Linked DNA regions of Mus musculus: region 2 is reported to be linked to region 1. The links are microRNA targets in miRTarBase. Many come from high-throughput screens and were not tested one by one. Region 1 holds a microRNA gene; the other region holds the end of a gene's coding sequence.
The links. The annotated mature microRNA mmu-miR-187-3p reads UCGUGUCUUGUGUUGCAGCCGG and lies in region 1 at 1,329-1,350, shown strand. An mRNA with a match to its seed (bases 2 to 7 or 8) in the 3' UTR can be bound and repressed. Matches are read on the target gene's strand: a 7mer-m8 pairs with bases 2 to 8, a 7mer-A1 pairs with bases 2 to 7 and ends in A, and an 8mer does both.

Region 1 (3,402 bases):
GAAAAACGTGTGACACTTAAGTTCTGCACTGAAGCTTGACCTCTAATCTGTCCCCAGAGTCTCCTGCCTTCTGCTGGAACCAAAAGCCATGTCGCGTTACTGAAGACACAAGCCAGTGAGAGCTGGACCCAGTGGTGTGGTTTGGTCCCAGCTACCCAAGAGGCTGATTGTGTGAGCCTTTGGGGGGGGGTGGGGCGGGTAGAGACTGGCTAGGAAACACTGAAGATTGACAGAGGGAGGGGAAAGGAGGACAGATGAGGGAGAAAGAGAGACAGAGAAAAAGGAGGGGGAGGGGGAGCAGGAAGGAAAGGAAGAGGGAAGAGAAGAGGGAGGGAGGGAGGGAGGGAGGGAGGGAGGGAGGGAGAGGGAGGGAGGGAGAGGGAGGGAGGGAGGGGGAATGAAGGAGGGAGGGAGGGAATGAGGGAGGGAGGGAGGGAATGAGGGAATGAGGGAGGGAGGGAGGGAATGAGGGAATGAGGGAGGGAGGGAGGGAGGGAGGGAGGGAGGGAGGGAGGGAGGGAGGGGAATACTGCTGTTCACTCCTCAGTCCTGAAGCCCATGGGCTTTTCTGCAAAGAGTTTACCCGACAGTGAGTCTGGAGAAAAAATATCAACATGTCACTTTGGAGGAACTGACATTAGGACATTGTCTTGATTTTAGACCAACTTCATTTGAATTTTATAAGAAAGCACTGAATGACTCACCAAAAAGAGTCCACACAAAAATGTTATACATGAGCTTTTGAATAAAAATAAGCCATAAACAAACAATAAATTCTCCATAGGCCTGGTGCAAGTGGGTAGCAATAATGTTGTGTTTTCTGCCATTCTCCCAGTCAAGATATTTATAATCCAGGGCAATTCATTGTATCAGCCTGGCATTTATAAAATTCTCATCGTGGTGTTAGAGTGAGAGCCACTTCCTAGGAGGTGTCATTGTACTAAACTATAATTAGTGGCTTATACACAGCCATAATTTGCTGTTTAGAGGAGGAAGGACATGGTCATGGGCGTGCACATAGCCTCTGTCTCTCAACATCAGCACCAGGCTTGTGGCCTAGGCGGGGTTTCTTCACCATGCAAGGTCAGCCTCATTTCCACCACTGGGTTTTCCCCTAGGGGGCAGCACAGTGCCAGTCCCAGGACCCACTAACCATGCTACTCTCTGTTCTATAGCTTCCTCACTGGGTACACAGCAGATGGGACTCCCCAAGCAGAAGCCAGTAGCCCACCCAGAGGAGGAGCCATGCTGGGCAGGCTCCCTGGGCTCACAGGATACAATGCGGGTCCTCAGGCTACAACACAGGACCCGGGCGCTGCTCTGACCCCTCGTGTCTTGTGTTGCAGCCGGAGGGACGCAGGTCTGCAGCAGAGCCTGCCTGGTGGCCCCTGAGGGATTTGACACACGGCAAGGCACTTTGGAAAGGCTAGGGCAGAAGGGGAGTGGGTTGTATAGCAGATCTTGAACCTAAGACTCCTTCATCCATTCAGTCAGGCATGTTGAACCTGGGCCCTGAGGCTGGCTGCGTGTGCTGAGCACAGTTAGGAGTGCAGCACAAGACAAAAGCCATAAACGTGAAATAAGATAAGCTGGAGGAAGGGGAAGGCGTTAGCCTGGGGTGGGGGGTGGGGGCTAAATTCTCTGTAGTATTTAGCCTTGAATGTTGTGGGTGGCAACATAGTGTAACAGTGTTGCAATTTTGAAAGATTGGACAGGACATGGAGGCTGGGGCAGTCCTGAGAGCGCAGGATAAGTGATGCTTGGCTTCCTACTTGGGGCCTGAGGGTCACTTTTCTGCAGTTCCCCATCCAAAGGCTCTCATTTATTTCCTTCAGTTATGACCAGATTCTCTCCAGCACCTAGGACTGCCTGCTGTGAATCTCAATGTCTGCCCTGTATCCTGCGCAGAAAGCATCAAATGCTGCACTTTCAATGAACCTTACACTATCTATAGGGCCCCCCTTTTCCAAGGAATGTATTAAATACATAAATACATTCAGTTCAGTATTTCTTCCTTCTCTTGCGTGCCTTGGAGGGAAACTGAGTAACATTGGAGGCTGTGATTTAGTCTGAACCAATAGGAAAGCCAGGAATTTGAAAGGGTTGAGAGTCTAGAGCTGCTCTGCCTCAGGATAGCAAACTCCCAAGCTAAGGCGGCCATGGTGCATGGTATCCATAAACTAGACACTGTGTTAGTGATGTCCTGCTTAGTAAAGACTAACGAGAAATTCAAATCAGGTCAGGAGAAATGTGGCTCACACCAGTTAGACGATCCAGAGGAAGGAAGGAAACAGATGCTGCATATAAACCCCTGTGCAGGTAAGGTATTCTGTAAAATGCTCTATGACTGTGTTGAGGGACATTGTCAGGAAAATGGGTGACATACAGTGGAGTAATCAGGTACGTAAACACATTAAGGACAATATAAGCAATATTACTACCAGAAAGAGAAGTCTTTGAATTTTTTCTTTTATTAGATTTATTCATTTTTTTGTGTTTTTTCTACATGTAGTGTGTGTATAACATGCAGGCTTGGTGTCTATAGAGGTCAGAACAAGGCATTGGATACCCTGAACTAGAGTTATGGATGGTTATGAACCACCTTTGGTGCTGGGAATCGAACCCAGGTCCTCTGCAAGAACAAAAATGCACCTAATGGCTGAGCCATCTCTTCAACCCTGAGAAGTCTTACAAGATGGAAAGAGACTGTTTCATAACTAAAAGAGGACAAACACCCCAGAGTCAATGGTACTGTAGAATCAAAGGTCACACGATCAGTGTAGATGGACACACACACACATACACACACACACACACATACACACACACACACATACATACACACACACATACACACACATACACACATACATACACACACACACACGGGGGGGGGGGGGCATGTGCATGCATAACTCTTCCTTAACTCTCATCCACAGAGAAGACTATGCTATCCCAAGAAGACAGAGCACACCTCATACCCAGATCTTTGTTTGCAAAGACTACGTTACCCGAACAGTGTCCAGAGCTCCTTAAAGAAGTGGCTGATTCTGGGTCTGGGATAAGACATACAAGATAAGCCTGGGTCATCTGATACCATAACGAAAGAAATGTCAGATGAGAGAGCTGGCAAGATGGCTCCACAGGCAAAGAGCTTGCCTGACAGGAGAGAATGACTCCAGAGTTCTCCTCTGACCCCCACGTGTGCATCTAACCCCACCCCACACATACATCTCACACACTAATAACAACTCTTTAAAAAAGTGATACTCATCAAAAAGGACATAGAAACCAGCTGAAGAGGCTACCATGACCATATTTGGGACTATTTGATCAATAAAATATACATGTGTACTGTGGCAGGTTTTGGTGGGGCAATACAGGGTCTCACTATGTATATAG
Region 2 (3,402 bases), not on the chromosome of region 1:
CAGCTAAGGACACATGTGGCATGTGCCTGTCACCTGACCCCTCTGATGTTGTCACCATTACCTCTGTCTCCCTAGATCCCAAGACCAAAGCCTGGCTGAGGAAACATGTGGACCCTGTGTTTGGCTTTCCCCAGTTTGTACGGTTCAGTTGGAGCACAGCCCAGGCCATCCTGGAGAAGGAGGCAGAAGATGTCATTTGGTTTGTGTCCTGAGAGTGGCTGAGGGAACAGACCAGGGGAAGGGAGGCCATGCGTTCACTCAGCCCGATGGGAAGTGGCCAGTCATCCCTCTCTCCCACAGGGAGGACTCAGAAGCTGAGGAGGATCCTGAAAGACCGGGAAAAATCACCTCCTACTTCAGCCAGGGCCCGCAGACCTGCCGCCCTCAGGCCCCCCACAGATACTTCCAGGAGCGAGGCCTGGAGGCAGCCAGCAGCCTCTAGGAGCCCACGTGTGCACCACCTGCCCTTCTAACCCAGGAATAAAAGCTGTTCAAGAAGTGGACCGAGTGCTTTGTGGCTAAGGTCTGGTAGCAGTGCCTGTGGCCAGCAGCTGATTCATCAAACAAAATAGGCATTTCTAGATTGGTGACGTTTGCTTTTTTTTTAAAGAATGATTTATGTATGTAAGTACACTGTAGCTGTCTTCAGACACGGCAGAAGAGGGCATCAGATCCCATTATAGATGGTTGTGAGCCACCATGTGGTATCACTGGATAGCTCAATGCTGGAACTGTGTAGACCAGGTTGGTCTTGGGCACATTGTGGCACTCACCTGCCTCTGCCTCCCAAGTGCTGAGGTTAAAGACATGCACTATCATAGCCTTTTTATTTTTTTTAATTGTAAAACTATTTTTGTCTTTGTGTGGGTATACACACATGTGAGTATGCACGTGTAAATGCAAGGGCCCTTGGAGGTCGTAGGCTTCAGATTTCTCTGGAGCTGGACTTAGAGAAATTACGGCCTGCTCTGTTGGTGCTGATCTGAACTATGTGCTTTTGACCACTGGCTTTCTCCATCCCGCATATTTTTCTTTGGTGCTCCCTCTTTGCTTTGTCTTGTTTTGAGACAGGGTTCCTAAGTAGTCTTGACTGTCCTGGAACTTGCTACGTAGACCAGACAGGCCTGAGACACAGCTGCAGACTTGGAATTAAAGGAGTTGTATGTATATTTGTGCAACACATCCATGCAGTTCTCAAAGAAGCCAGAAGAGGGCACCAGATCCCCTGCAACTGGAGTTGGAGGTGTTTTTGAGCCACCTTGTGGGTCTTGAGAATCAGGTCCTCTGCAAGAACAGTCATTGTTGCTGTCAACCAGGGAGCCATCTTTCCAGTCCTCTGCCTCCTCTCCTCTTCCTTCTGTGTGTGTGTGTGTGTGTGTGTGTGTGTGTGTGTGTGTGTGTGTTTGCGTGCATGCGCTGTTGTGGTATTGCATACCTTTAATCCCAGCATTTGGAGGACAGGTAGGTAGATCTCTGAGTTAGAGGCCATTCTGGTCTACATAGTTCCACATCAGTCAAGGCTACATGATGAGGCCCTGATCAATAAATCAAAGCCACAAACTATGTTATCTATTTATTTATTTTGGGGGTGGGGGCACAAGTGTCAGGGCAAACCTGGAGGACAGAGGCCATCTTGTTGGAGTTGTTTCTTTTGCTACCATGTGAGTTCTGGGAATAGAATGTAGATCATCAGGGTCGGCCTGTGTACCGCGTTGCTAGTCTCCATTCTTCCCTAAGACTATCATTGTTGCCAAGTTCTCCCCAGGTGTTTTCCCAAGCAGCAGCCATGTCGTATGGCATGGTCTAGGCTGGCAACTTTATTTTGGGGAAGCAAAATAAGTGAGGGTTAGATCATTTCTAGGAAAACAGGTGGGAGGGCCTGGTTTAGGAAGGAAGGAGAGAGGAAGAGAGGGAGATGACTCTGGGTGGCTCCTGGCCTAGGGAAGGGACACGTATTGAAAGCCAAACATTGGCTCGGGGCTGTCGCCGCTGCCGCTGCCACTACCACTGCCTACAACATTTGAAATCCAGGCACGAGGGCGGCGGCGCGCTCCTGGAGAGGAGATGGAGACGTTGAGGCAGTGACTGGAACCTGGAGCTGCTACCCGCAGGACATGACCCAAAACAGAGTGACACAGATCTGTGGCGTTGGCGAAGGTCTAGGAGAAAGGGTGGTGGTCAGGGTTCGAGGAGGTGGAACCTGAGTCTCTGGGCTGGGTCTTCTGGACTAGGTATGGCCTGAGCGGTGGGAGGGTATGGGCATTCCTTTGAGGGGCCAGTCAGTCTGTCAGAGCCAGGGGAGGAGCCTAGAACTGATCGCAAAGAGTTGATAGGAGAGTCAAGAATCAGCGGACTACCCACACCAAGGCTGAGAATGTGGAAGAGTACAGCAAGAACCTATGAACTAGGTACATTAAGATAGTGTTGGGTACTTAGGAAGAGAAATGGTTCAGCCGGTAAAAGCACCAGCAGCTGCTGCAGAGGACCTAGGCTAGATTCCCAGCACCCACATGGTAATTCACAAACCTAATTTTAGTTGTAGGGGAGTCTATAACCTCCTGACCTCTTACAGGCACATAGGTGGTTCACATACAGGCAGGCAAAACACAGAATAAGAATAAATCCTTAAAAAATAAAGATTAGCCCACCCCTTTAAAAGGATTAATCTCAGCACTGGGGAGACAGTGCTAGACGATTGTTAAGAATTCAAAGTCACCGGGAAGTGGTGGCACACGCCTTTCATCCTAGCACTTGGGAGGCAGAGGCAAGTGGATTTCTGAGTTCGAGGCCAGCCTGGCCTACAGAGTGAGTTCCAGGACAGCCAGGGCTACACAGAAAAACCCTGTCTTGAAAAACAAACAAACAAAAAGGGTTCAAGGTCAGCCAGGTGAACATGCTAAGTTTCAGGATAGCAAGAGCTACATGGAGAGTCCCTATATAAAAAAAGTAACTGATTAATTAAAATTAAATTATATCAAGAACCCAGACTGTATTGCATGTCAGTAATCCAGACCATATTACAAAGCCCATTTCCGCCTCCAACCCTCTGTTCCTCACTCACCTGCCCATAGGTGCGGCAGCTGGGCTCACAGCCTCTCTCTCCAGAGGACTGCAGCCAAGTCGGGCCACAAATAAAATCTGCTTGGCAGGTGGTGAACCTGGCCATGAGAAGGGAAGACGGGTTTAAGGCTTTGGAGACAATGGGCTTCTAATGTCCCTCCCTCAGACCAAGGCCTCTTCTCAGGCCCCAATCCCTCAGACACCCAGAGTTTGCAGAGTTTCCTTCTGGGACTTATTGTGTTGTTTGTTTTTTGTGAGACAAGGGTCTGAAGTTAGTCTAGAAGTTATTTTGTGTCTAAGGAGTATCTTGAACTCCTGATCCTCTTTCCCAAGTGTTACACA

Region 2: miRTarBase lists Rnaseh2a as a target of mmu-miR-187-3p. Seed matches in the 3' UTR shown: 7mer-m8 at 648-654.

The regions. Positions count from the first base shown.
Region 1 is chr18:24,427,058-24,430,459 of GRCm38, reverse strand. Mir187 (microRNA 187) reads left to right here and starts at 1,290; the gene lies at 1,290-1,350. Gm32547 (a long non-coding RNA gene) reads left to right here. Exons shown (of 3, transcript XR_877231.2): 2 at 1-171; 3 at 1,836-3,402.
Region 2 is chr8:84,954,763-84,958,164 of GRCm38, reverse strand. Rnaseh2a (ribonuclease H2, large subunit) reads left to right here. Exons shown (of 8, transcript NM_027187.4): 7 at 76-199; 8 at 301-1,555. The coding sequence ends at 442. It overlaps Rtbdn (retbindin), which reads right to left. Exons shown (of 7, transcript NM_001357326.1): 6 at 3,062-3,158; 7 at 1,559-2,159. The coding sequence ends at 1,938. Among named protein-coding and RNA genes, the nearest start is that of Rtbdn, 9.5 kb to the right of the region's middle.